Alligator mississippiensis: one gene and its partners. The protein of the gene in region 1 interacts with the protein of each later gene in a biochemical or structural test. Links are inferred from orthologs where the notes say so. Each region holds a gene or a part of one and is shown in the gene's direction. Other genes may lie near its edges. The genes, in order: TRIM28, PCNA, CBX1 and CBX3.

The links.
Region 2: the proteins of TRIM28 (region 1) and PCNA form a complex in vitro, tested with the Homo sapiens proteins (2 studies listed by BioGRID, with this or other methods). The link is inferred for Alligator mississippiensis from reciprocal best matches to the Homo sapiens genes TRIM28 and PCNA.
Region 3: the proteins of TRIM28 (region 1) and CBX1 form a complex in vitro, tested with the Homo sapiens proteins (3 studies listed by BioGRID). The link is inferred for Alligator mississippiensis from reciprocal best matches to the Homo sapiens genes TRIM28 and CBX1.
Region 4: the proteins of TRIM28 (region 1) and CBX3 form a complex in vitro, tested with the Homo sapiens proteins (2 studies listed by BioGRID). The link is inferred for Alligator mississippiensis from reciprocal best matches to the Homo sapiens genes TRIM28 and CBX3.

The regions. Positions count from the first base shown.
Region 1 is NC_081828.1:75,675,052-75,682,145, reverse strand, and holds the start of TRIM28 (transcription intermediary factor 1-beta), read left to right. Parts: upstream 1-4,091; 5' UTR 4,092-4,232; coding exon 4,233-4,452; intron 4,453-7,094. UniProt on the Homo sapiens protein: Nuclear corepressor for KRAB domain-containing zinc finger proteins (KRAB-ZFPs).
Region 2 is NC_081830.1:25,946,600-25,954,521, reverse strand, and holds the start of PCNA (proliferating cell nuclear antigen), read left to right. Parts: upstream 1-4,906; 5' UTR 4,907-5,382; coding exon 5,383-5,603; intron 5,604-5,915; coding exon 5,916-6,013; intron 6,014-7,508; coding exon 7,509-7,576; intron 7,577-7,922. Other genes in the region: CDS2 (phosphatidate cytidylyltransferase 2), read right to left, coding at 4,593-4,676. UniProt on the Homo sapiens protein: Auxiliary protein of DNA polymerase delta and epsilon, is involved in the control of eukaryotic DNA replication by increasing the polymerase's processibility during elongation of the leading strand.
Region 3 is NC_081827.1:167,748,324-167,755,236, reverse strand, and holds the start of CBX1 (chromobox protein homolog 1), read left to right. Parts: upstream 1-3,910; 5' UTR 3,911-4,108; intron 4,109-6,913. UniProt on the Homo sapiens protein: Component of heterochromatin. Recognizes and binds histone H3 tails methylated at 'Lys-9', leading to epigenetic repression. Interaction with lamin B receptor (LBR) can contribute to the association of the heterochromatin with the inner nuclear membrane.
Region 4 is NC_081828.1:156,758,044-156,765,713, reverse strand, and holds the start of CBX3 (chromobox protein homolog 3), read left to right. Parts: upstream 1-4,662; 5' UTR 4,663-4,692; coding exon 4,693-4,758; intron 4,759-5,972; exon of another isoform or gene 5,973-5,999; coding exon of another isoform or gene 6,000-6,023; intron 6,024-7,670. Other genes in the region: HNRNPA2B1 (heterogeneous nuclear ribonucleoproteins A2/B1), read right to left, coding at 3,164-3,208.

The DNA.
Region 1 (7,094 bases):
AATTAAAGCTTTAGTGATGCCGATCATGTCTGCCATCACATGTCTAACATCTCTCCCAACAATACAGTTGATCTAATAATAAATATTCTTCCAAAAACTCTTCCTTGTCACACATTTCCTGGACCATCATAGCTACAACACTCCACCCCAACTACTGACATTGAAATAAACATTCACCCACAACTCTACTGTCAAATACACCATCACCTGCTTACAATGCCCCGCTGCTGTCTGCAAAAGCCCATGGCAGAATATTTTAATCTCCCTGCTGACTTCAATCCATCATCCCTGCTGACTTCAGGATTGTTGCTCTCAGACAAAAAACAAACAAACAAACAAAATAAAAACCAGTATGAACTGGAAATTGCAGAACCAGGAAATCATCCACAAACTGTACTGTGTTAAGTATGGTTTAAACTGGGACTATGTTATCTCATTACCTGGATTAGCTTTTGTAACCCTTTTTCTTCTGTAGGTTTACTGCATCTTTGGTTTTCTCTCCTAGCATTGCCATCTTCTCCCTATCTCTCTAGCTTCCTTTGTCTTTTGTACACTAATTTCTCTCTCCTTCCACTCTGCTTTCTGCACATCCTTTCACAGCATCTGATTAAATGAACTTGGGTTCACAAAAGCTTCTGTTTGCTCATGCCTGCATAGATATAGATCTGATTTAGTTAATATAAAGGTTCATATCTACCTTGACTTCTGATTGAAATGCAAACCATTTCACTCCCTTGAGCGTTGGTAATTGGGAGCTCAGGTGGCACAGGTGCTAAGGTACAAAGTTGACAGTCCCGAGGTTGTAAGTGTGAGGCCATAGCAGAAGCACTCAGTGTGTGGCCCTGTCAGATTCTAAGGAATCTGTGAATTTTGGCAAATACCTGGTTGCACAAGGACATAAAAAAGGAAGAAAAGTACTGGTGATTCACTTGGCCTTCCAGGAGATGATGTTGTGAAGCAAGACCATCTCCTCCAGCATTAAGACAATGTTTTCAGTGAATGCTCTTATCTGGCATTCTGGATATGGAGGAGGACCATGTCAATGATAACCTGCAATAATGGGGAGATTGTTGGGACCATCAGGGTTCAGAGTCCAACCACAGCCCTCTCCTTCTGAGAGGCAGGCTCCAAATTACAGAAAGCCAGTGGCAGTTCAAGTGAAGAGCATCTTTGCCAAGTTGAACTTGGAGTCCCTAGTTGCTGAAAACAGCCTGTGTACTTGTGGGTGACAGATGGACATGGCTCTCCATGCAGGAGCCAGCAGCTGGTATGTCTACCATCTTAGAAGCCTGCGGCAAATGCAAAGGTGCTCCCAAGGTGTAATGCAAAAAAACTTTTTGGGAGTTCACAGCTTACCCTCACTTATCCCACAGCTGCTACCACAGGTTCTGGTGTTAAGCCCCAAGGACACAAGATGAGACTGCAGCTTAATGAGTAGCAAGGACGAGACTGCTGCAGCATTGGGCAATGACTGGGAGTAATAGAGTGATGGAGAAAATCTTAAAAGCATGACCCAGGGCACCTTGCAGACTCAGAAGTCAGGATGAATGACTCCTGCCATCCCTGTTTTCCTCTCTTTTAAAAAAAAAAAAGACTTCATAGGATCATGGGAAGGAACCTTACGAAGTCATCTAGTCCAAGTCCCTGCTCAAGGCAGGACAATCCCTGATTAAACCATCCCAACCAAGTGTCTGTCTAGCCTGCTTTTGAAAATTTCCAAGGATGGCAATTCCACAACCTATGTAGCCTGTTCCAGTGTTTGACCGCTCTCATAGTCTGAAAGTTCCTCCTGATCTTCAACTTAAATTTCTCTTGCTGAAGCTTGAGGCTATTGCTCCCAATCCTGTCCCCTGAAGCCACAGAGGAAAGTCCATTTCCATTCTCTCTAGAATCACCCTTCAGGTATTTGAAGAATGTTACCAACTCCCCTCTCAGTCTTCTTTTCTCCAGACTAAATAGTCCTAGTTCTTTTAGCCTTTCCTCATAAGTCTCGTCTCCCAGACCCATCATTTTTGTTGTTTTCTGCTGGATGTTTTCCAAACTCAGGGGCGACATATAGGAGGTGCATGGGGGTGCATGTGCACCCCCTGAGAGCACCGGTGCACCTCCTGTCAAGCCATGCTCCCTGTGTAGCTGGCAGGTAGGGTGGCAGGCAGGAGCACCAATACCCCCCTGTGAGTGCTGGGGGACCCCCCTGAGCCATCAGGATTGGCCACCGGGGGAGTACTCCCCTCCCCAGCCAGTGGGATCAGCCACCAGGGAACCCCCTGGTTGCTGACTGGTGTCAGGGGGGCACGTGCCCTGCCTGACTCAAGAGGCACCAGGCACCCATGTCCAAACTGTACATATCCTTGAAGCATGAGTTCAAAAACTGGACCCAGTACTCCAGGTGAGGCATCCCCAGTGCTGACTAGAGAAGAAGAATCACTTCCCTTGGTTTGCAAGTGATAGTTCTATTAATACAACCCAGTATAATGTTGACTTTTTTTTGCAGCAAGAGCACACTGTTGGCTCAAAATCAGCTTATGGTCTACCATAACTGCCAAGCCCTTCTCTGCAGTATGGCAAATCATTTCCCCATCTGTATTTGTACATGCAGTTATTCTGTCCCAAGTGCAGAACTTTGCACTTGTCCTTGCTGAATCTCACCTCATTGCTTGTGAACCATTTATTTCTCCAGCCTATCCATCCAGATCGTTCTAGATCCTAGGTGGCAATCCCAACCAACTTGGCATCATCCGCCAATTTGCTACATGCACATTGGATCCCATGCTTCAAATCATGAATGAAGATATTAAAGAACCCTGGGACCCAGGACAGCCCTCACTTGATACCTCCTCCCAACTAGACACTGAGCCACTGAGGACTACCCCGACAAGGATTATCCAACTGGTTCTGTATCCACCTTGCAGTACTTCCCTGCGGCCTGTACTTCCTTAGCTTGTTAATGAGAAAGTTGTGACTGTGAAGCCTGACTCATGGCAGGGTTGAGGCTGCCTCATCCTCTTCAAACATCCAAAAAGTAACGTCCAACCAAAGGCCCTCAGTCACTCTGTAGCAGGTACAGCTCAGACACGGCATCCCTGGGGGGGAATGAAACCCTGGGTGCTTTCAGCAAGGTCTCGAGGTTGGGCTGAGAAAGGAGGCGTCTCCCTGGCAGGGACAGCCAGCTTGGCTGGGCATGGGGGGGGGGGGCAGGGGTGAAGCCAGAATGACTGAGGGGAGCAAGGCAGTGTCATGTGCAGGAGCGGCCTACTGCAGCAGCAATTCCCGCAGCGCTCGGCAGGGCCGGCCTGGAAACTGGAGGGCTGCTCTGGGCCTGAGGGGAAGGGGTGGAACAGACCCCGCCTTAGGTGAATCTAGTCCGCCAAAATTCTAAGCGGCTTCAATTTAAGCAGCTTTAATCAAAGTGGCAGAATTTAGTGGGGTCAGACCAGCAGGACAGGACAGGGCAAGCCTGTGGCTAGGCTTCCTGGAGTGACTCCTGATTCCCATCCTAGGTCAGCCACCGAGGCCGCACGTGGGGCGGGGAGGGGGAGCTCAACACTTCCAACGAGGTGGGGCGGGAGCAGAAGGTCCATCAGAAACGATCATTGGCCCTCTGCCCTGTCAGTCACCGCGGCCCTCCCAGGCCGACAGGCACCGCCCCCTGTAAATCCCACAGCTTCGGTGGGTGATTGGGCGCCAGCCCCGCCAGGCCCTTTCCACGCGGCAGCAGCTCACTGAACGCTCGAAAACTCTTCCCGCGGGGTGGGGGGTCCCTCCTAAATCATTCTCAGGCAGGAGGGGAGAAGACGCAGGATTGGTCCAGCAAGTTGTCATTCTTTACAGCCCCGCCCTCGCCCGCTGATGCCGTTCAGTGATTGGCCTGTTCCCATTCAATCACTGCCTACGCTACAGCCCGCCCGCTCAGGTACGTACAGGAGACCAATGGCCGCCTCCCCTCCCCCTTTCCCACTCCCAGCCGGGCCTTGGAGCCCCGCCTCTCCGCCGCCTTTTTGAGAGGTGATTGGGTGGGTTTGCCGCGGCCGCTAGGCGGGCATTGTGACGCGCCGAGAGGGGGCGGGGCTAGGGCCGCGCCGCGCTGGGGGTTGCGCGCGCCGATCCCCTTGTCTGAGGCGTTTTGTTTTGTGTGCGGCGGCGGCCGGAGCCGGAGCAACGGCGCGCGGCCTTGCAGGGGCCGACGGGCGCGCAGCGGCTGCACAGGCCCGGAGCGCGGCGGCGGTGCAACGATGTCGGGCCCAGCGGCCGCGGCCGAGGCGGGTGGCCCCGGCGGGGAGAAGCGTGCGGAGGCGCTAGACCTGGTGGAGCAGTGCGGCGTGTGCCACGAGCGGCTGCGCGGCGAGCGCGAGCCCCGCCTGCTGCCCTGCCTGCACTCCGTGTGCCGCGCCTGTCTGGGCCCCGAGCCCGAGCCGCCCGCCTCCGCCGGCGCCGCCAACAAAGAGGAGCGAGGTGAGCGGCGGGGGGGCCGGGGCGGCCGCGGGGGCGGGCGGCGCGGCGCGGCCCGAGGGGGGAGGGGGCCCGAGGGTGATGGCGCGGGGCCGGGGGGAGGGGCGCCACGCGGTGCGGTGGGGCGGGCCGGAGTGCGCCCCTCCCTGCGCGGTGTAGGGGGAGGGGGCGGGTCTCCCGGGCTACCCCCAACGGCCCCTCGCCTTCCCGAGCCGGGCGCCTTCCCCGCTGCGCCGCGGGCTCTGGGCTGGCGGGGCCGGCGCCTCCTGCGGCCCAGCTCCATTGGCGGCCGGCCGTGGGGGAGGGGGGATCCCTCCCGATCCCCGGCTGTGCGGGGTCAGCCCCGACGCCCAGCTCCGCCTCCGCTGCCTCCATCCTTCTTCCTGCGGGCCGGGAGTGCAGGGGCAGGGCTGGCAGCTTCAGCGCCTGCTGGGGAGCAGCCCCACAGGCTTGTGGGCCGGAGCCAAGGGGTGGGGCCTGGCCTGGCCTGCTGCAGGCAGCCAGCCAAAGGCCTCCGGGCCGTGGGCCTTCTGTCTGCTGGAAAGGGGACGCTGCTCAGCAGGAGTGCTAGAGACTTCCTGCCTCCCCCTAGAGATACTGGCTGGAGAGTGTTGTCCACTTGCACCCTTCTAGACACCAGCTGGTAATGGTCCAAGTAACCTTCACTTGTGACAAGGCTTCAGCTGCAGTACCAGCATACACGTTTCCTCAGTTGCTTATTTTTTTTAAAAAAGAAGAAAGCCTCCTTGTTGCTGCTTTTATTCCAGCTAAAGTTTCTAGTGTGGGACTCTGATTTTGCAACTAAACTGTGCAAGGCATTCTTGAAGGATGCTGATTTACCTAGAGGTGAGCTAGGGGTGTTCAGGGCACCTGTACTAAAGAAACCAAGTCCTCCAAAGGAGCGTGTGAGGCAGCTTTGTTGAAGACTGTAAAAACATGGAGCAGTGCAATATAAATAATGTGTAACAGGAACATGTGCGGTAAAATTACTTGTGAACTTCATAGAAAGAGAGGATTCGTGCTGCAGTCTGAACAGTCTGTAACAGGTGGCTCAAGCCTGTTAGAGATGATCTTAACCAAGGTTGAGTGACTTGGTTCTGAGGATGTGAGGGTCTCTGTTACACTCACTGATAGGAACCTCGGTATGAACAGTTGTCCAGTGCTGGAGGTATCCCATCTTTGGACACATGGCATTTTATTACCTCATTTTATTAACTCATCTGTAGTATAAAACAGTATTAAAAATGCAGCAAACTAAAATACCTAGTTTAGTCTCCTTGTTGGCTACCTAGCTGACTAGCACCTTCTGGTTAAGAGCTGAAAAATCCCCTCTTCCTAGCATTCTTTTACCTACAACAATTTCCTTTGGTTTTGGGTTGTTTTTTTTTTATTGCCTTTAAGTTATGCCAACTTATTCTGTTAAAATATGTTGCAGCTTCCAGGGATGCTTTTCCTAGTCTTGCTGCTGCAGGCTTGTTACAGATTGAAAACCAGTAGTCTTCATTCATGTCATTTGGCTGGTCAACCCAAATGATAAATACCCAGGTTCAGAAATCCAAAGTTCTCCTGAAAACATGCAGTTCTATACATTATTTTCTAAACCATTCAGTTGCATATTAACACAGTGTATACACAGCTAGATATTCTTTTTTCACTTTATATCATGTGTTATCATTTCAGTTAATTTTCCCCACTCCTTAGGCATTTTTATCAAATTCCAAGTTTCTCAGGAAGTTGCACCATAATTGAGGAGACACTGAAAGGGTATTTAGGATTCATTCTTAATCACTTAAGACTTTTGACCCCTCCCAGGATGTGTTCACTGCCTTATTGTTACATTCTGGTCTGACCATTAAGTGTCCCTGAGGGGCTTTACTCCCATCCAGAGAGAACCAACAAAGTATCCTATGGCCTAGAAAATGGTCTACAAGGAGAAGCCTTCTTAGAGTCAGTGTTTCATTTAAGTGGGTGTGAAGCCTATACTTTATAGCTGTTCCTTAAGGAAATGTGCCTTGGGCCTGGCTTTTGTATAGGCTTTGTACTGAGTGTTTTGGTTAGGGGGTGTGATTCTTAACCTATTACCAAAAACACGGTACCATTTGGTTTTTCCAGAGACAAGACTACATACCTGTAGCCTGTAATAATAATGACCTCTTTGCAAGCTTAGAGGCAGAACTAAGGGACAGTTATAATTGCTTTAATGTTTTTTATTTATTTTTATTTTTTTTACACCAAATCAAGATACACTTGCATTTCCCAACGATTCTCCACTTCCTCTTAACAGGTAAGGTATCAGCTTTAAGGTGGATAAAGAGGTAAACCAGGTCTATAGAAGCCAACCTTTTATTGATTACAGCCCAAGCACAGGAGTAAGCATTTGTCTGCCTAGCTATCTGCAACAGCATAATACAGATTCTTGCCTGTACAGCTGGTATAGGAGGGAGGAAGAAGGTAGCATACAGACTGGCTACCAGGTTGTTTTGAATTTGCTTCGGTTTTCCCAAAATCTTTTGTTTACTGCACCTAATATTTGTACATGGTTTATTTTAATAAATGTTCTTTGATTGGTGGTGTGTCAATTTCTTTGTTTTACCAAGATTTGGCAACTGGACTGAGCCAGTTGTTATCTTTATGGACTTGGAAGA
Region 2 (7,922 bases), on another chromosome or scaffold:
AAACCAAAGAAACCAGCTTTTTGCAGTTACCCAAAGGGTGTGATTGCTCTGTGAGCCCTACCAGATGCCAGATTTCACTAGTGATAAAAACCACTTGAGCATCAGTACAGATAAGTAGGCAGGGGGATTGAGTGGCAGTGGATCAGCATGTCAGACCAGCAGCAAGAGTGGCTACCACTGGAATATCCAATTTCCAAAAATCCATAAATCATCAGATACCCCCAGCATTCTCACCTTCATGGCTCAGAACTAGAATAAACATCATTTCTGTGGTATACTTATGTTGAATCATCAGAGCCTCTTGAGACAACCACAGCCATCATCTAGAGACTTAAGCCTGTTGTGATTGAGGCAGACAGGGTGCTTTGGGTAAATGTGATATCTTTTATCAGACCAACTAAATAGTTGGAAAAATTGTTCTTTGCAAGCTTTTGGGCACAAACACTCTTCTTCAGGCACAGGGAGAGGACACTCTATGAGGCTTCCGAGTTACCCAAACATTTAAGACGACCTTGTTGGTCAGTTTTTTTCCTTCCTTAACCACACAGCAAGTCTCAGCTCCTCCGCTCTCCTTCTCTGTACAGCTGGAGAATGGGTGCAAGTCAGACATGGAGGGAGCTCTGGGTTCTGCTATACATAACAAAATAAATCACATCTCTTGGCTTTTACACTATAGTACCAGACTTGATATAACTTGAAGCTCTCAAAGCCCTTTGTGTGCAGTAGATAAACACCACAAAATCTCTAAAGTAGGTGAGTGTCATAGCCTATATCCAGATAGAAACCAGGCACAAGGAACTTAAGTTTGGCAATCAGACTTGCTCTGTGGCCTTTTGTCTAACTATATCTACAGCACAGCTGGAACTAGAATGCAAGCATCCTTACCACTAAGTCCATTCATAACACGCTAGAAGCCGTGCCCATTCTTAATTTAACAAGAAAACCCCTGGGATCCTGACTCCCAGGTCTCTCTATCCTTTGTTTTATATTTAAGCTTATTCCTTTTAGCAATCAGGGTCAGTAAGTTAGTGGCTGGTAAGTAAAAGGGCTGCACATCTCAGTGGAAAGCTCTATCTGCATAACTGGTATACCCAACTTCCATGCAGCACACATGCTAAATATCCCGTTTTCATTTGCTTCAGCAGTTCCCCTCATGATTAGGTGGGTCACTTTCCACCAAAAGTGTAGAATATTTGTGACAAGCTGCAAGTTGATGATGCAACACTGAGACACAAAGCCCAGAAGATTCTGCCTCTTGATGCCACGGATCCCTCTTTCCCCCCTTCCTACGGCTACTAGCCGAGTGAACTACCGGCCCTTGAAAAAACTCCGGGCCCCATGCCCAACAAAGAGCTGGTAGCAGTGGAGGATCCAAAACTAAACCAAACCCTTCCTGTGCCAAAGCTGAGCTCAGTGTAAACAGTACAATTTCAGTTTTAGAAACAACACTGTTTGAAACCCCACAGTAAGTGCATCCTTAATAGTCTCTCTTTATGCCCTTATTCGTTTTCAAAACTGGAGGTGAAAACACGATGTTTGCAACTCAGGAGCATGACTTCAATTTTATTTTTTTTTTTAAGGTTTCTCAAATAGAGAAGACATTGAATTTTACAGAGTAAAACAATAACTCTATAAAATAGGAAATGAGAATCTTGAACTATTCTATAACAGCAGGAAACTAAATACCTGGTTGCTCATGTAATGCTATCTATTTAGCTAATTTCAAGTGAATTATTTGCTAGAAAAAGACAGCTAGGATCACTCAAATCCTATTTATTCCAAGGGTAGCAGTCACAATTCAAGCTTCCCTAATCAAATGTTAAATTGTGATCTGAAGGGAAGAGTAAAATAATGCTGACCTTTTACAGTCAGAACTTCTTTTGCAAGCTACCTTAAGGGGAGGTTTTCATTTCAGTAACATTCATGTGGTTTCGCATTTACACAATCCCATGAGCACTGTAAAGGGCAACAGCACAGCTAGTGCACTACCTTAGCAAAAGAAGCACCACAAAATGAAACACACCTTCCTGTTTCCATTGTCAAAGATGAGCTAAATGAAAACTAAGGCAGAAAAGCCAGATTAAGAATTTTCCAGTTTTAGTTTTAAAACTAACAGAACAATTTATTTTAAAAAAATGAAACCAAGTGCATTCTTTTTGGTTTCTCTTTACAAATTCAGTGTCCTTTTGAAAGCAGCCTCCCCTGCTGTGAAATATAACAGGCATACTGTACTAGAATTAATATTATTGGCTATGCTATGGCTGGGAGACAAAGTAAGTAAAGGAAGACTCACAAGGATGTCTGAACAGGGGACATCCCTGATAAAATTCAAGAAGACCTCCTGCTAGTGGCTTAAGGTATCAGCACAGGTTTCACTGAATTGCTGTCTTGTATATTGATGGTATGCCCACAGTATGCTACAGACACTTTGCAGACACCAGAAGACAACACAATGCTAGCCTCCAAGAGTTCCTAATCCTAGACCCCGACCCTGTGCGGTTTTAAGGAATACATTATTATTAGGAGAGATACTGGCCAACTCAGCAGTTCAGACAGTTACATTCCACTCCAACTTCAGCCTTCAGGATGTTCTTTGCTGCCTATTCTATACCATGTTCTGTTGAATACAAAATTCAGTCAGTGGCAGCAGGTCAGCGATGGAATATGAAGGAGAGGGGTTTGCTTCAACATTTTGTTTGAGGGCAGTGGGGCTGATGTAATTCTTGGCCCTGTGCATTGTGTTTGTTCAAATTATTTTAGGATATTCAGTTAACCCCAACTTGTATGGAGAGCATTTTGGATGCATTACTTAAATGCTAACTAAAGGAATCCTGTTGTATGTAAAAATGCATCGGATGAGATCAGGGGTTTGGGTCTGATGAGATCAGACTTTAAGAAACAGCCCTTTGGCCTTCTGTGTCCCACATAGCTAAGACAACTCTGCTTGCTGAGAGTATGCATACCAGTTGAGCAATACCAATGCTCCCAAGGAAGCATTCCAACTCCCACAAAAGTACCAGGATACAACAGGGCTATTGGTTGTAGCTGTACTGGTCTAAGGACATAGGCAGACAAGGTTCTTTAGGTAAATGCAATATCTTTTATTAGACTATAGTTGGAAAAATTGTTCTTTGCAAGCTTTCAGGTACAAACATCCTTCTTCAGGCACAGGAAGAGTTAAGTCACCTTGCTACAGTGCAAAAATGCAGTGCAAACAGTCAATTATCAAGAGGGTGATAGTTTCCATCCACTCTTGTTTAATATAGAAAAGCAAAGCTAAACCAAGTCGGTAAATTTAAACACCGTAAAGCTTTACAAGTTACCAGGCAGTCAGGCATTTTACATCTTCATCAAAAGTTAAGCTTCCAGCAATCCCATTTTCTAGAGTCATTTCTTCCAGCTCTATAATTGTATAGCAACCAAGAAAGTAATTAGACCCAAGGATGATGCTTTATTTTACAGTTTGCGCTAGCTGCTAAAAAAGGATGTCTTAAGTAATTTTAAATGCAAAGATTTCGGCTGAGAAAAAAAACAAAAGAATTTCAAGTGATCACTTGATGTTTACTTGACACAGAAAGCTTTTCACCTTTTCAAGGTTACGTGGTTGAAGCACTCCACTGCTGTCTTGGAATTAGAACCAGAACTTTGTTCTAACATAAATGCAAGCCAAATGGTAGCTGACAAGGCCAAGGTAAGAGCATGAAACAGCCAAGAGTAATTACAATTTCCCCCTCAGCTTGATTCCTGAGGCCCATAGGGTTGTGAATGGCAAAGAACCCCAAAGACTTTTTCAAAATAGGACTTTTACCTTGAAAGTCCATGCTTTTAGTTGCTCACATCTTCCAAGGGGCACCCTTTAAGAGGGTGAGAGTGCAAATGACTTAGTGAAGGACAGCCAACCTTTTAGCTCTATTTCTCCAAGCATCTGGATTGGGCTTTGGCAGAAGCACGTACAGTAATAGCGTACAGTGAAAGAACAGCTCTCTCACCCCATCTTAACAATGGTTTAGGCCTCAAGTCCCATGAGACTCCAGAAGCACCAGGCTGGGCCAATCCCATGGCAACTCAGTACCCGCTCTTAGACGTGGCGTCTTGCAGCCAAAGAGAGTGGAAATGCCTTGCTAAACAGTTAGTGTTTTACTTCACAGGAATTAATGAGTTGAGGAGAGATGAATTTGGCTACAGCCTGGTTCCCTAAAACATCTTCATCTTGGTCTTGGAAATTAAGGGTGTGATGCTACCAGCATTTATGCATACAGAAGTCAACATGCAAGCTCTCCCTAGCCAGCTGGCCCCTAGGGTGCAGCTGACAACCCATTTGGCACATTACTAGTGGTGCCCTGGCAGTGGATCCCTCTGGGCTCTGGGAGCTACGCCCGGGGAGCAAACGCTTACATGGCCCAGCTCAGGCAGGGATGCACTGAGGCTGTGCCTCCCACGCCCCAGCCACCCGAGCTGTACCGACATACAAACCCAGATGAACTGCACTGCACTGCACTGCACTGCACTGCACTGCACTGCACTGCACCGCTGCCCCGCCCCGCTGCAACCCCCGCGCTCCGCAAGGTCGGGCCGAGCAGCCCTCACTACACCTGCGGGCAGGCGGGAGGCGCCAGGCCCCGCCCCGGTACCTTGTCGTCGGGCTCCCGGCCCAGGCGCTGCCGCAGCTCGCTCATGCTGAGCCCCGCTGCGAACCTCAGCAGCAGCGCGTGCGCCCAGGCCCCAGCGTTCCATCCGCCTGGCGCCGCCGCAGCCAATGGGAGCAGCGCGAGCCGGGAAGGAGGCGAGGCCACTCGCCTCGCCCCGCCCTGCCCCTCCTGACCCGGATGTAGGAACTCTTCTCTTCCTCCTCCTCCTCCCCGGCCTGTGGTGGCTGCCATGATAGGCGTACGCCGATGGCGGTTGTACATGAGCCATCCCCCAGACGCCGTGAAGCTCCCTGTAGCAGCCCCTGGGCACGGCACTCTTGCTTTGGGAGCATCCCAGAGGCAGGGCCGAGCAGCCGACCCTCGCAGCCTTGTGAAACAACGCGGGTTGTAAGGCCGGCCTCGATTGGTGGGAGGAAACGCGCTGCTTGTTACCTGCGTGGGGATTGGCGGTTGCAGAGCACGTGGGCGGGATTCTGTCCAGAATCCCAAGTAGGCGGAACTACCGGTGACTCCCAGGCTCTGATTGGCCGGAAGGAGGAGCTTTCATTTTTCGCGCACGATCCCGCTGGTGGGCACGGATCGGTAGATTGGCGGCAAGGAGGCGGGGCTTCAGGTTGCTGCGATTGGTGGAGAAGCCGGGGAGGCGGGACCCGGACGTGAGGTCAGAGGCGCTATAAAGAGAGCCGTTGGCGCGCCCCGAGAAGCAGCAGTCTAGTAGCTTTTTCTCGTCACCATGTTCGAGGCGCGGCTGGTGCAGGGTTCGGTGTTGAAGCGCGTGCTAGAGGCGCTTAAAGACCTCATCACTGAGGCCTGCTGGGACCTGGGCTCGGGCGGCATCAGCTTGCAGAGCATGGACTCCTCGCACGTCTCACTGGTGCAGCTCACGCTGCGCTCCGAGGGCTTCGACACCTACCGCTGCGACCGTAACATCGCTATGGGCGTCAACCTGACCAGGTGCCACGGGGGCGGTTGTGGGGGCTTGGAGCGCAACGCTTGTCCCGTTTGTGCCGCGCGCGTGCGCGGTGACGTCACGCCGGCGCCCCGCGCTCAGGGTTTTCCCGCGCGCAGTGGCGGGAAAGAACCCCTGCGGGGGGAGGAGTTTCGGCAGCTCTGCCTGGTGGGAAGGGGAAGGGTGGATGTGGCCCCTGCAGTGCATTGCTCCTCTGGCCTGGAAACGGCTTGCAGGGCTTGGGGGGAGGAAGAGTGGATGTGGTGGGTCAGGATGCCTTGCCTGGGCTGGTCTAACTAGTCTAGCCCTTGCTGCAGCATGTCCAAAATTCTGAAGTGTGCTGGCAACGAAGACATCATCACGCTGCGAGCAGAAGACAATGCAGACACCCTGGCCCTGGTGTTCGAGGCCCCAAGTAAGTACCTGTACTTCACAGAAGTTTAGGACTGGAAGAGACCTCATGAGATCATTGGGTCCAGCCCCTGGACAAGAAACACTACTGGGTTCAAACAACCCCTGCAGGGTGTGCATCTAGTCTCCTTTACCCCTGTGTTCTCACAAGGTCCCTTCCAGCCCTAAACTTTTGTGAAGATCTCTAGGTTGTGTCTGCACCACCTCCGCTGGGAATCAGTTCCAGAGTCTGGTCACATGAGCAGCAAAGAAGTCAGATGAGTCCTCACAGGTATGGTGCCTCAAGCCATGTTGGAGCTGCAGGGGTCTGAGAATGAGGTGATAGGCAGGGATTTTGTAAGGTCATCTCTTGGGCCAACTGTACAGCTGGGATGCAGGAGGCCTGATAAATGTCTTGCTTCCAAAAGTTTGTCTAGCTCTTATCCTGTGCTGTTTATCTAATCAAAGAGATCACCCTATGAAATCCTTGCCTCAGCAAAGGTAGGAAACACTTAAAAGCTCACATGCGCATAAAAATAAACACCCCCTCAAAAAAAAAAAAAGTGTCAGTTTTTGAACTTGCAGCACTACTTGAAGACTAAAATGAGTGCCTCTTATTAAGTTAATAGGCAGATGAGGCTGGAAGTGAACACTTGAATCATTGAGTCACAACCAGGGTCCCGCAGTGTGTTGAAGTGCTGCCAGATATTTTGGAGGTATGCAGATATAATTAGATAATTGGAGGCTCAGGCTTGTCTCTGTCTGGCTGGTTCCTCTCCATCTTCACTGATTGGTTCTCCTGAAAGCAGCTGAGCACTGTAGTATACAGATGAGCCTTTGAAATTGTACAAAATAAAGTGGCATCCAAAGTCAAGGCCCTTCGCCATGATGGGGTGGTGTGAGAACCACTCATCTGGTTTATGCTAGTACCTAGTTCAAAAGCTTTGTGTGATGTGTATACTTTTTTTATTTATTTATTTATTTATTTATTTATTTATTTATTTATTTTTTTTAGCTGAGTACAGTAGATGACGATCATCTAAATGACCAGAAGCTTTTATGGATACTTGTGTAGTTGCACCAAGAAATGTCTTGTGTCCTGTGACTTGGGGTGGGGTGGCATGCTCATAGCTGTTTGATAGGGCACCCAAGGGGAAAACTAGGAGTCATGGGCACAAACTCCTGGAAGATTGATTCAGGCTCAACATTAGGAAAAACTTCAGTTGAGGTGTCCAGCCTGGAATAAGCTCCTTCCAGAGATGGTGCAATTGCCTACCCTGGAAATCTCCAAGAGGAGACTAGACAGTCACCTTGCTGGGGTCACCTGACCCTCGGTTATCTTTCCTGCTTGGTGCATGGGGCTGGACCTGATGATCTTCCAAGGTCCCTTCCAGCCTTACAATCTATGAATATCACTTTTTTTCTTTTCTGTGTAAAAGTTTAAGAGGATCTAACTGCAAAACACAGGTTTAACTTTGCTTCACCAAACACACAGATGTATTTTGATGTTTTTCTCCTAGATCAAGAAAAGGTCTCCGATTATGAGATGAAACTAATGGATTTGGATGTGGAACAGCTTGGCATCCCAGTAAGCCATTTTGTTTTGTCTGAGCTAAATTTAATTGCTAATACTCATAAGTGAGAGTAAAATGTTAATGTTGAAGGCTTCTAAAATTTTCTGTGTTCCCAGTTCCTCACCTCAGTGGGATAGTTTTAAGATGGCCCATGGGAAGCATTAGGAATAGCCTAGAGTTTTTGAAGTGGTGATCACTGTGGATAGTGGTTGACTTGGCTCTTCAGTTCTCAAATGCATGATCAGGAGGACAGTGCGTTTTGTAACCTACCTTTTTAAGCACTTCCTTTTACAAAGAGAGGTGCACTAATTGACCCCTGTTGGCTATGCCCACTGAAGGTAAAGCTCACAAGTGATTATT
Region 3 (6,913 bases), on another chromosome or scaffold:
CCCTTCTGACCCTACCTACTATGAAACTATGTGGGGAGCGATGTGCTATGGGGCAAGATGGGGCTGGCCCTACATGTTGCAGCAGCACATATGGGGATGGGTGGGGCTGAGCCCACTTGCTGCTACCATGTACAGCTGGGGACCGTGGTGGGAGCGCAGGAGCTGTACGTTATGGGGCTAGGCTGGCCCTGCATGCTGCCACCATGTGTGGCCAGGGACTTGCACAGGAGCATTATTGGGCTGGGTGGGGCTGGCTCCGCACACTGCCGACATGTGCAGCCAGCGACTTGGGTGGGAGTTGCGTGTTATGGGGCCAGGCAGGTGGCTTGCCACCACCTGCAGCTTAAGGGACTCTCACACTCCAAGGATGCTCCCCCACACCTCCTTCCCCCAACATGCCCCCACACCCTCCGCCACCACATACCCTGCACCCACACCTACCCACTATATCTACACCTCCCACACCCAATATACAAGAGTAAGGCTGTATTTTGAACTATTATGGAATCACCTTGACCCAAGGGGACAATAAGAACCCCCAGGCGTGGGTCGTGGTGGAGACAACCCACTGCAACAATGGGAAAAAAAGGCCTGAGAAAAGGGCAAACTTGCCTCCCTCAGGCACAGCTGTACTGGATGAGCCACAGAGGGGTGCTTTTCTCTGCAGCTGAGGCCGGTGCGGCCCAATGATGTCATCCAGGAACACTGCCCGGCAGGGATACAAGTCGGCGGTGGGGATGCAGGAGGGAGGTAGTTGTGGGACTGCCCCCGCCCCCGCCCCCCCGCCACTGGAATGGAGGTCCTGGATGCACACAAGGAGGGGCCAGAGAGGGACCCAGCAAGAGGGTCCAAGGCCTGATTTAAAGGGCCACATCATCCTGGACAGCGAGGGAGTTGGCCCAGAGGAGGACACTGAGAAATGGCGATGCCGGCAAACATAGGACGCGTGAGCGGGGTGTGGCCAGAGACCCTTCCCTGGAATTGTGGTTCTTTAGTTACATTTCAGTTACCTTGAAGCCCTGGGGCCAGAGACAAGGCCAAAGGGCAGACACTGAGGGTTGAGCGGGCCAGGGCCATTTAGAAGATCTGAACGTGGATAGACTAGACCCATCATCGAGGCCATCACACTGCCCCAGGCAAACCTGTGTGGTGGGAAGAAAGACTGTTGCAAACACTGGGGACTGGAGAGGCAGAGAGGGAGTGGGATACCACATCAATTTGAAGCCAAATTGCCCATCATTCAGCAGTTCTGATGAGCTGGTGCATGGCTGGGGTGTAGGGGAGGTGGAGCCCCAGGAACGCCTGCTAGTGATGACGCCCAGTGCGTTCCCCATGACAGAAGGGAACCCTACTACTGAACATTAGGGTTGTGCAAAGCAGGCCCTACTAGATTCAGGTTCATCCCAAATGGGGGACCGTGATTTGATTCGTTGATTCAGATCACTGTCCCCGATTCGATTTGGCTGAATCCGAATCTGAAGATTTGATGCTGATTTGGAGAATCAGCGATTCGGCCACAGACACAGCTTTAAAGGTTTTTTCTACATACCTCGAGGTACCAGGTACAGCTTGTGAATGCTGTGATGCTGGGGTGGATGGAGCATCCCACAGGAGCATGGAGGGGCCCTTGTATTCAATCAACCGCAGGTGGACCCTGGATGCCCCCCCAGAACCAGGAGGCACTAGTTGCCGAGCTGCGGGGCGGGGGCGGACACCCAGTGTGCTTCCCAGTGGACCTGGAAGTGGACTGGATGTGCTTCTGGTCCACTTCCAGGTCTGCTGCCAAGCGCGCTGGGGAGTGCCCCGTGCTCCTTTGGAATACTCTATGCGCCCCAGCTTCTCAGCGTTTATGAGCCACCTGGTACCTTGAAGTATGTAGAAAAAACATTTAAAGCTGTGTACGTCCAAATTGCTGAATCTTTCCAAATCTCTCTGATTCGATTTGGAGGGTTCCAATTTGATTCAGAGAGATTAAAGTGTCTTCTGATTCAGCCCAATTTGGTGGCCGAATCTGAATGGAATCTCCGCCAAATCGAATCAGCAACTGAAGCTTCGCACAGCCTTACTGAACAAAACACCCAAAATGTGGCAGGAAAGTACTGGGGTGTCCCCTGAGAAGAACATGACCCCATGTCATGACAGCAGGAGCCGTTTGCGTGGCAGGCCCCTAGTGCGTGCTCCAGAGCCGCATCGGAGAGGCTCCACGAAGTCAGGTGGGCGCACACCTCTAGATACACTATGCAAACACACAAATCGGGACAAAATATTTTTTAATGAAAATTAAAATGTTATAACAGATGTTTGGGGGGGGGTTTTGGGTTGTTTTTTTTTAAGTATATGATTTTTTTTCCCCTCAGTTTCACAATAGCAACTCCCCTTCCCTCCCAAAAGGAGTACTTCTGGGGCAATGGGAGGGACTTCAGGTGGCAAAGGTCAGGGGTTAGGGGTGGGACTTCTGGTCCCAAGATGGCGATCAGGGGGTGGGGCATCTGTCAAGGGGCAGGGCTACATCTTGCCCATTAAGATGCTTTCCAGCTGAAATAATTGCCCACCCCTGTGATTATAGCATGTTGGTCTATGTCTATGGTATCATGGAACAATACAACCTAAAGGTATGGAGCTTTAAGGTGGAGTAGGAGCACGTTATCCTATGTAGCATCACCTGTGTGTCATTGCATGGTTCATCAGCCCCAACCATTTTAAAATTGAGTTAGGCTCCTAGGAGGTGTAAGATTTCAAGAAAATATAAGAACCACAGCAGTCTTTTTGCAGACCTTTTTCATAGGGTTCTCAAGCATAAGGCCGACCAACAACTTCTGTTCCCCTGTCTCATAACACGTTGAATGACGAGGTAGAAAATTCAAAGCAAGCGGCCAGGAAATGCTTTTCATGCTATGTGTTAGATGGCTGAACAAGTCACCTCAAGAAGGCTTGGGGTCACAAATATGCCCTGTGACATAAATAGCAACAGAGAAAATGAGAAGAGGGCATTACACCATATGTTTGAGGGCTTGTGTCAGTCTCTAAGCTCTAGCAAGGCACCTTTGAGACAATGGGGTGGGGTGAAACCCCCTCTCTTCTGCCATCCCTGCCTTCTTGCCCTACTGCCTACAGCTCCTTCTGAAGCAGCGTTTCTCAACCCGTGGGTTGCAGCCCAAAAGTGGGTTGCAAGAATACATGAAAGGGTCAGGCATGAACTTTAAAAATGGGTTCTCCTTTAAAGGTGAAAAACGGGAATCCCTGGCAGGCTGGCAAAGGTCCAGCCTGCAAGGGGCTGCTTATGCCCCCCTGCCCCACACACTGAGGGTCTGGGGGTGGGGGGCAGAGAGTCGGCGGTGAGGGGCACTGGGTCAGGACTGGCCATCGATGTTTACAAATGGGTCCTGGTACAAAAAAGGTTGAGAACCACTCTTGAGGACAGTGGCAGAGGCAGGACATGGGGCTGCACGGAGCTGGGGGCTTCTTCTCCAGTCTGTGGGGCTGTGTTCCCGCGCTTTGCTCTAACATTATAGTGACAAGCATCATCATTGCTTTGTTATTCTTACTGTCGTTATTTTCATTGATGCTGTTCTGCATTTCCAAAGCTCCCTAGGATACAACTACGCCCTCCTACTCCGCGCTGGCTCATTGAGAACTCCCCACCCCGCCTCAACCTGACTTCACTAAAGGCGGGACGCAAACAGCAACGCGGAGCCCGCCACGCATGAGCACCGCTACCGCAAAGCTCAGCAACTCCCCCCCACCCCGCGTCCACTTCGGCGCGCGCAGGCATGTCAGCCCCGCCCCTGCCTACAACTCCCAGCAGGCCGCTAGGTAGAAAGCGCGCGGGAGGCGGTGGGACTCGGCCTCCCAGCATGCCGCGTGAGCCAGGAGCGGAGATTGAGGGAAGGGGGGTTGGCGCGCATGCGCGGTGCGCTCGGCGGGCACTCGGGCTGGCGGGGCTCTTTTGTTTGGCGGAGGCGGATTGCTAGCGGCCGGGCCTGCGGTGCCGCGCGCACCGGAGCGTTACCCGCCCTGCCCAGCCCGGTCCGACCCTGTCCCGCCCCGCCGCGCCCTGCCCGCGCGCTGAGCCGTTTCCCCTCGGGTGCTGTTGGCGGGGCTGTGAAAGGTGAGCGCCGCGGGGGGGGGAGAGCACCGGAGGGGCGGGGCGCGGCCCCCGCGGGGGAAGGGGCGGGGCTGCACGCGGGGGCGTTGGCGATGCTGTAGGATGGGGGGGCAAGTACGAAGCGGTGCCTCCGGGGGGGTAGAGCTGCAGTGGGGGGGCTGCGTGCAATGGGGGCATGTGGGGAGCAGCCCCCCCGCCCTTGGGGAGCTGGGGCTTTCCCGGGGGAGGGGCGGGCTGGAGCTGCGCCGGGATAGGGGGGAGGGGGCAGCTGCCTGAGGGCAGGGCGGGCTGCGCGCCTGGGTGAGGTGGTGCTTGGGGGGGCGGGGCTGGAGGCTGGTGCTGCAGCAAAACCAACCTGGGGGGAGAGGGTAAGGGATGGCAGAGATGGGAGCTACTCCTGAGGGGGTGATGCTATCTGGGGGTCTTGCAGGTGGCAGAACTGTGCTGGAGGTGCCAAGCCGGCGTGTAGCCACCACTGTGGGATCCAGGGAGTCAGGATTCAGGTCGAGGGGCTGTTCTGCTCTTCCAGCTCCCAAGGAGGAAAAAACCCCACAAAAGCAGGGCTTATTCTTTTTGGACCAAAAGAGGAGGAAAAACAAAACAAAAAAAAAAGGGGAGGGGTGGGGAGTGCTTCTAAGCCTGAGCATCACCGTAGAACCATCTCTGGGACTGTTTGTGTTGCTGCCTTTCTGTGCAGCATGTTTCTGATGGGGTTGAACAGCCGCTGCTAGGTCTCCTACCCAAATCCAGCCTCCTGTTTGTGTTGGAGATGCAGGTAGTGAAACTGATGAGAAACGGAACTAGGCTGGTTTAATCTCGCTGTCTACTCAAGTGAAATGTAGGCATGGCAAGTGAAGGCAGCTTGGATGTGCTGGTAATACAGGGAAAAGAGCATTGGAGTGTAGTGGGGAGGAGAGGGGGCTGAAAAATAAACTGCTATTCAGACCTGCCCCGCTGAATACTAAAAACGACAGCGTTGAATGAAGAAAGTACCATTAAAACAGGGGGAATAAGAATATTTATGGGTGCGGAGATGTCTTCCACTCATGGAGGTGCTGGGTACTTGGGAAATACATACCACTTTAATCGCTGTTTCCCCTGTAGCGTCTCCAGATCCAAATTTATTTTAATTTAAAAAAGTAAAACACAAGTCTGTGCTTGGGCTCTGCCAGCATTTCCCTGATTAGCTGGAAGTATAGGAGTACCTCTGTGTGTGCCTGCTGCTCTTTCATGTAGAACCTAGAAAGCGTAACTTAAAGAGAACTCCTGTCTTTGAATTCCTTCTTGCTTTTCTCTGCAAAGAAGCAGTATTTCTACCTTTTTATGCACACTTTCCCAAGCTTCAGAGATTTGTTTCTCTCTCAAGTTGTGAGTGCAGTTGAAGATGATGAGGGGATGCATACTCAAATTCCCTTTGAAGCCAAGGTCGTCTTTCTTTCTACAGTTTCAGCTCAAAGGCTAGCAATTCTGGAAAGTTTGAGTAAAAGCCTTTCTGCAGTTTTTCAGGTTTTGGAGCCTGGAAATGTTAATACACTTCTTCCCAGTTCAAAAGAAACATGCCTGCTGCTTTTTCCTGGCAAGTGGTACATACATATGCCATGTTTTTAAAGTCCTGAAAGAGGAGTAGGACTTTAGCCAACATTAGGAAGGGCGGTAGGAAGTATTTCAAGTTAAAAGCATGAAAGTAGCACTTAAGTCGCAAACCTGTAAAATGTAGTGACTGCACTTGGACTGAATGTATTCATATTAAATAGGTCAGATAATCTTTTTGGGTCATCATATATTTCCTGCTTATGCTGACCTAATCTTCTCTCTTTAAACTGTTTACATTTAAACCAGTTTAAACTATGAAAGCTTCTACAAACAAGCCTTCCCCCTCTATTATTGCACTTTCTAAAAGGATTCTTGGGAGCATATCCCTCTTGCTAACAGCACTGCCATTTCCATCTGAAATGGTTGCTGATGGTCTTGTTTGCTTTACAACTCTCACAGTACCTGGGCACAGCCTTCAGAACATCTCACCCAACACTAAACACCTTTGAAAGGCAAGGAACAAAAATGTATGAGTCAATTGGACACTAAGTACCAGGCACTTGACAGACAGTGATTTCATGGTCCATTATGATGTACTCGATTCTCTGCACATTACAAATGATAATGACCCTTCTGAACAACCTTGTTCTTCTGTTACCAGGCTTTTACTGTATCTCTCTTGCCTGTTGGTTACCTGATCGTTTCTCTTATACCCTGGTTTTATTTACATAAGGTGTTTTGCACAAGCTTTTTTTCCATCTACTATGTAGCTTTGCTGTGTTCCCACAGTCCTGAAGAAGGATACTATCATATCTATAAGCTTGCCTCTCCCAACCATGCAGTTGGTCCACAAAAAGATACCATCCACAAGAATTTTCGCCTCTTGCCCAACACCCAGATTCTTTGTCTCTGAGTTACTGCAATAATGCATGTTCTGCAGTGTCGTTGATTCTGGCTTTTGCTCCTGCATCTGCTATTCTTGTCCCACGAAAGCAAGTTTTGTATACGTTTTTGTGCTGGGCCTCTTTCTTTGTGGCCTTTTATTGGGGTTTAAATTCTTTTCAAGCAGTTGAGGCATGTGTATTTTTGGTTTAATTGCTGACATGAAGGCCCTTCTCCCTCCAGTGTTTTATTTATCCTTTATAAAGAATTCCAACCTCACCCCAACTTTAAGGTCTTAAGGTGATGTCAGGTGAGAGTGGGAAATATCAGTAGAAATCTATTTTGATCTTTGTCAGAAAATTATTTTCAGTGCACTGAGCTCTTTTCCAGGCA
Region 4 (7,670 bases), about 81 Mb from region 1:
GCCAATCAGGGGCTTCAGGGAGCCCACTCCGCAGAGACCATGTAAATGGCAGTCAGCACCATGAAATCACCTGTCCTGCCACCTACATTTTGGAAAGTCCCTACTTATGGAATGTACCTGAAGGGCTAATCCAGCACTAATAAAATGGTGCAAGTTCTCCCCTACCTATTCTCTCCAACCCTAAAAAAAATTAAAAAAATAAAAAAGAACTAGTCTAAAGAGAGACTTGCCAATTTTGTCTATAAATGTGTTTGTAACCTGCTTTAAAATGATTATCACTTCAACTTATTTTCCAATAAACTATTCAGACTAATAAAAGCTTTTTGATGCTGCCTAGGCAGGATTTCAACTAGTGTGAGACATGGAAGAAGGACCACTGAAAGCAATGCCAAAACAGCTTTTGATAATGACTTCAAACCAAGACTATAATTTCAGATTGCAGAAATTGCACTGTTCATTTTTCTAAGTTACAGCCTTACCCTGTACTTCTTTAGAACTGTCTGCAGAGCCTGAGTTGTGTAGTACTCAGACTTTTTGAAAAAACTGAATCATGTATTGCAAACATGGGCCCCAATAAACCCCTAGAAAACTATTTAGAAAAAATGAATACTGCATCTGCCAACAGTGTAATAACAGCATCACATACATCTTCTACTATGCTTTTTAATCAAGATTCAAACAGTTTAATAGAACATCAGCATCATTTTCTGCATTTGAAAAGTTGGAAAATTAGCCCAAGAAGCCAAGTGCATTAACCACTGGGAAAAAAAAGCCTAAAGGCCTAATTCTAACAGTCAACTAGAATACCTGCACTATTACAACATAAAATAATTGCAAACACGTAGATTTTAATGAATTTTTCACCAACCACCCTTTCACATTACAAAACTTTAAATGGAACTGAAGAAAGGAAGAGGACAATTTAAAGCAAGTACTAATAAAACTTAGATCAAATCACTATCATTTGGCATGCCAACAGACTAATTCTATAGGTATTTTATGTTACTGTAACAAAAAAACAAAAAAACAAAACCAGAGCAATTTCAACTCTGTAACCAATACCTACTAGAAAAAGTTAGGCATTAAGTCACTTAAAAAAGTGAAATGAATAAAATTACACTACTGGTTCTCAAACAAGCCTGTGGATCATTGGTGGTGCAGGACACTTGGTAAGGTTTGCTTGTAGGCTACAACTTCCTTACAAGACAACTACAAATAAATTTACTTTCTCCAATATAAGCAATTGCCATATGGGAATAATACAACTAGGAAAGGAGGGTTGGAGCATGTAGCCCCACATGGCCTAAGGCAGTGCCCCCCAACCTTTTTGCCCCACAGCACATTTACCTGAATAAAAAAAGCACAAACAGCACACTGGATGGGGACAGGGGAAGCTGTGTGCAGCCAGCCGGATGGCATTTTGGGCTGGAGCCATGCTCCCCGTGTCCACAGCATCAGTGGGCAGGGGGTGTGGCTCCACACCCATGTGCCACGGTTGGGAAATGCTGATCTAAGGGAGTGATTTTCAACCACAGTACGTGGCCTCGTGGCATGCCTTGACATCCTTTCAAGGGTACTATACAATGTTAGCACTGTTAGGTTTCCAAACATAAGTCACAAGATACACCCAGAGATTTCAAATAGAAATCCATAGTTGTGGTGTCTCCAAATTCTTTACAACAAATAAAACTGCTCTATTTTTCAGTAACCAAAAAAGTAGTGAATATTACTACTTTTAAAAATAGAGCTGACATTTTTTGAGGCGTTCCATGAGTCTGTCCAAGAGCGCTTTTGGTTTACCTTGGGGTATCTTGAATCTAAAAAGGATGAGAACCACTAGTCTAAGAAATGTGAGGAGCAAGAGTTTTGGTGATGTCTTTTACTGGACCAACTATATAATGGGGGGAGGGAGGAGAGAGAAGGGGAATGTAAGACAAGCTTTCAGGCAGCCATTGGGATTACCAAGGGAAAAGACTACTATAATTAATCTCCATATTAAATGATGGTTCACATTACTGTTTAATATATCATTGCATGCATGCGTGCGTATACACATGCATTTAAGTGAAGTCTCAGGCAAGCAGTCGGCCTCGTGTAGGATATGAACTCTGATGACAACGTACAATTAGAGGGAGATAGGTAGGCAAGTCATTCTGAAGTCAAGCAGAAACGCAGGGTAGACTAACCAAATCAGAAATGCACATGCTCACATCACTTCATGAGGTAAGCTCAGGCTCATGGAAGTTTGTGCATCTCTAATTTAGTTAGCCTACAAATGATCTTTGTTACTCAGCCTTATGCTTAAGTGTGTTACTTCTTGTTCCTCTGAGGATTTACCTTTACTGGACAGCCACCAAATATGTTGCATGCATTGGGATGTTTAACACATTCATTACAATGTTTTTGCCTTAGCAAAGACAGAGCCTTAGGACTAAGACTATTTCCCCTGAGTTTTAGGGAGTGTGAATGTTAGCTTACAAGTCAGAATTAAACCAACCCACTATACTGAAAACTGCAGTTTTACACTTGGCAAAGCAAAATGTCTGCACCTCACTTTTACCTGCTTGCTGATGAAATCTGGATGGGGGGGGGGGAGAGGAAGGAAACTGTTTCAAAATGCCAAAAGAAAAGCCGGTTGAGCATCTGTATCCTGTGCAAGGGAAGAGCTTATCAAGTTACTGGGAGCCTCCTTGTTCTGCCCTAGTACACTAAGATAAAACAAATTCGTCTCAACTGCTGCAAGAGCAAAGCCACCAAAAAATGGCGGCTAGAAATTTGAGGGGCGGGGGAGAAGATTCCGCATCCCGGCGCTGAACGCCCGCCAAAACGGCGCGCGGTCGGGAGCTGCGGCGCAGAGGCCGCTCCGAGCAATGCGCGGCTGCGCGGGCAGAGCCGGCGCCTCCTGCCCCTGCGCCGGAGCGCGCTGCCTCCAGGGCCCGAGCACATCGCGCTCCAGGTGGCAGCCATGTGGCAGCGCCGGGAGCCGGGGCCGCTCGGCTGCGGAGAAGGAAAATGGCGCCCACAAGCCGCCGCCTGCCGGGGAAGCGATGCGGCAGGAGAAAAGCCTCCCTCGAGAAGCCGCGCGCCGCCCTCCGGGGCCCGGCTGCACCCGCAGCCGGCTGAGGAAACCGCAGCCCCCCTCCCCCCCAACGCCGCCTCTCACCAGCTTGGCCGCGGCGCTGCCCTGGCTCACGGCCCGCCTCCCCATCCTGGCGCGGAGCCGCTAGCCCTCCTCACACACGAGCCTATCTGCGCGCCGCCATTTTCTCCCTCCGCCTCGTTACCGCCATTAAAAGCCGGGGCACCGCGGCCGGCAGTCGCCAGGGGCACGCGGGCCCTCCCCCCGCTGTCGTTCGGTTCAACGGTCCCGGCAATCGACCCGCCCCTCCCCCGCCTCCCTCCCCCCGCGCCAGCCCCAACCGCCTTCGGCGCTTCCAGAACTTTCCTCCTCTAACTGTCGCTCAGGCCCGGGCCGGCTCTAGCGACCCACGGGGGGGGGGGGGAAGGAGGGGATGTGGGGGTGCCGCGACCCCTTCCCCCCGGCCGAGCCCCGCGCGCCGCCAGGCACGTACCATATTCTTCATGGTGCGGGCGGCCCCGGGTGCGAGCGCACGCGACAGGCCCAGTAATGGCTGCCTCAGCCGTTACGCAATTTGAAATTCGGGTTCGCGGTCAACCTGTTTTCACCTCACGCCAGCCTGCCCTGCCCTGCCCTGCCCAAAGCGCGCGGCTCCCGAGAGGGGGGAAGAGACTGGGCCGTGGCACCGAGCTCCCCTTTGTGTTTTACTGTCCGCAGAAAAGGAAGGAAAAAAAAACATCGGCTCCGGGAGCAATGGCCGCCTCCGGAATGAGCCGAAGCGTCCGTCGTCGTCGAGCTCTTCTGCTTCGGCGCCTGACGGAAAAAGTCGAAACGGCGGCGGCCGCTGGGCCGAGGAAGTTCGGCTCTTTCCGGAAGGAGCGAGTCCGGGACCCGGCAAGCTCACGCTCCGCTTCGGCCATTTCCGGAAAGGGAATCGTGAGGCGCCGCGTGGCCGACCGGAGCCGAAGCGCCTCGGCTCAGCTCGGCGGAGGCTGCTCCCTCTTCCAGCTTTCTGGGAAGGGCCGAAGCCGCTCGGGGACAAACCCTCGCGGCCCACTCCTCGGTTCCCGGGCCCGGCCCTTCCCAGTCCGCCCGCCTCAGGGCGAACCACTAAGAGCGGATTTCTTCCCTCAGTGCTCCCGCCCTGCGCCATTCTCCTAGCCCGGTTCCTTCGCCCTGTGCTGCCCGGCCCAGCCCCGCTCCCTCCCGGCCGTGGCTGCGGGAGCCGCCGCCGCCATGTTGCGTCCCCGCTGGCGACTCACCCAGTCGCTCTCCCGGTCCCCGCGAGGCATCTTCTTCCGCCTGGGCGCGCGGCGAGGTTGGGTCCCCGGCGCTGCGCTAGGCTCCCGTGGGAGAGACGTCTTGGCCCGCTGCTACGCTGGCGACCGCGCGGCACTTGGGGGGAGGGGAAGGCGGCAGCTCCGGCGCGCGCGGCGGCGGCGGCAGCAGCAGCGATATCCTGCGCTGTGGCCCCGTCGCCGGCGCAGCAGCAGCGGCGGTGGCAACTCCCCTCACGCAGGCACGCAGCGCCCCGCCCCGCTCCGCTCGTGGCCCCGCCCCGCTCGCGCCCGGCCTCCCGCCTGCTCGCCCTCCCGCCCTCCCTCCTGCCGCGGATGCCGCTGCGCTCAGTGCGCGCAGGGAGCGAGGAGGCGACGGGGACGCCGCGGAGCCGCCGTGAAGTCTGTATCCTTCTCCCTTCCTCTCGTTCTCGTCCCCCGCTCCGCCGCTCTCGGCGCCGCTGCAGCCCCCACGGGGCGCGGGCAGGAGCGGCCGAGGAGGGGCCCCGGCGGGGGAGCCGCAGGGCACGGGGCGGCCGTGTGCGGCAGACAAAGCGCGCTGGCCGGCGCCGGGGCCCGCGCTGCGGCCGGGGAGGGGATGGGGGACGTGGCGATGCCCGCGGGCCCGGAGGAGGCCGCCGCCGGGGAGCTTCGGCCTTGCGTGAGGCCGCCCCGGGGCGCCCGCTCGCCCGGGACCCACCCAGCGCAGGCCCGTGGCGCAGCCCCGCCCCCCCCCTCCCGGGCCTCGGCAACGGGCCTTTGTTCCCCCTCCCCTCCTCTGCTTGGGCGGGCCGGGCCGGGCTGTGCCGCGCGGGGCCAGGGCCCGGGATCCTCGCGCTGCCTGGGCTCCCGGGGCGGCGGGGCTGAGTCGAAGGGGATTTTCTGGCCTTCTCTGGAGCTTTATCCATCGCCTTTTTCAGTGAAATCGGGGCCGTTTTAGAATTTCGGGGTGGGGGGGGTCCCTGAAGAAGTGGCCAGGCTGAGGCCCAACATGGAGGACGAGGGGGGAGGGGAGGTGGGGGATGGCCTGGGTGCAGTCAAACAATACATTTATCTTTAGGCTTAAATATTTCACTCCTCCATAGGCCCTGTCAGCATCCCAGTCCTAATGCTTGCAAACTTCAAGATCAGGTGGCAGCCTTGGGGTTGGATGTGTCTTGACTGTTATATAGAAGGATCCCGGGGGACTCTGGCTACTTGTTTCACTATTGCAGAACTGCTGCCAGCAAAAAATCTCTCTTTTGCAACTTGCAAATGCTTGCAGTTATGTCTTCTGGTTAACTGCTCCAATCTGAGTTCTTATGATTCTGGGTTCAAGCATATAAGGCATCCTGGTGGTCCTCAGCTTCCTCTGAAACATCCCTGTGCCTCAGAACGTCCTGTAAAAAGGACATTTTTTAACCACGGGTGCAAGTGCAGGTTTTATGTCACTAGTTTCACCATGTGGTCTTGGGTTACACCAGACAAAGTAACAACCTAGTTTTGTTCTGGATGAATCCACACTTGAATGTCATATACAGTGAACACATGGGGGTTGGAAAAAGGACCATGCTTGTATTGAGATGCCTTTCTCTGAGTAATGTAAACTTCCTTTTAATTGTCATGCATTTTTCTAGTAAAAGCTCTGCAAGTCTGCAATAAAAATGGCCTCCAATAAAACTACATTGGTAAGTTCATGCACACCTAAAATATTTAAGGATTTAACCAACATATTTTTTTTTCAAAATTATAACTTGGCATCTCTATGTAAAAGATACATCCACATCTCCCCTCCCCAGCATTATTCTGACTAAAATCTCAGATCCAGAAAGTAAGGCTATGAGAAAGGACATTGACTTTGGCTTTAAAAATCTGCCATCTAATGAGATGCATTCAATTTTTTTTAAAGGAGGGCTCTACTCCATTTCAGCTGTCCAGTTGTCAACTAGAATAATAGTTAACCATTACCAGAAAACACTGAATTTTTTTAGCCTCCTTTCATCACACCATATCATCCATTGCACATAAAAATAGCACTTAATGTTTCACTAGGAGTTTAGAACAAACTGCTGAAATCAAGCAATTTCTGAAATTAAATACCAATACAGAAAGGTAAGGTGATGGGGTATAGCTAGGGTTGCCACTGAAATTGTTTAATTGAACAACAAATTTGCGTTTCATAACTGTAGAGGTTACCAAATGTCTACTTCACCTGGACAGTTTTCATGGTGGAATCGTTTGTCAAATGATGGACCACAAACTTGGAATTTAGGGCAGGCGGATGTCTCAGTAGTTCTGATGTCCACTCAACAAATGACAGGACATGTTTGCAAAGGACAGAAGTGCATAAGCCTAGTGTTAAATATACCCAATAAGGGAAAAAAAATGGACAAACAAATCTGTGTGCTTTGGAAAAGGAACAATTTTGTCTGTTGTGGGAAAAAAATGCCATTAAGCTTGTTACTGTGCAGTTGACTATATTTTAGGTAAACTTTTAAATGTTTGCATTATCTTTTAAGTGCTGTGGTTTACTTACTCTAAGGAGTATTGCAACCAGATTCCAGTCAATAATGCTTACAAATACTTAATCAAGCTAAAGTTCTACATTTTCAAGTAGATACCAGTTCCCCAAGTCCCTAACTTCAATAATGTGGTGGTAGATCTAAACACTCATAGGAGGGGAAAGAGACCCTTTTTTCCTGACACTTGTATATAGCTAACCTCCCTATTACAATATTACCTCAATGTTATAATCTTTCACTTTTATAAAATGAAAAGGTGAGTGATTATATACTGAAGAAGGTACGTGTCTCTTCTGTGAATTTTGAATATGAAAAAGTGCAAGTTCGCTTTATTTGAATATGCTCAGGTTTTGGTGTAAAATGATGGGACCTAGAAGAAGAGGTCAGATAGTTCTAGAGACATTTCTTCCTGTTGATTTCAAATGTTGCGTGTTTTTGTAGGTTGAGATGTGGATTACAGCATGCAACCACAGAACATGCAGAAATTTGAACTGAATAAGCAATTTTTCTGTGGGCCATATGGTATAAAATGCACATTACAGAATTTAAAGAAGGTCAAGAAGAAAAGTTTGAAGATCTGCTGATGTACCTGTGAGACGTACATAAATCTGTTACGTCCGATAAAGATTTCCAAATACTTACCTTTCTCATGCACTTGCTTCAAGTGTTTTGTTTTAGAAGTCTAGGAGATTTGATTCTTAAATTATAAGAGCAAGAAGAAGAATCATTTTCAGAGAATGGTGGGATGGGGAGATTTAGCCCAAAGAAGAACTTCTCTCAAGAAATTATATGCACTTGTATGTCATATTTACA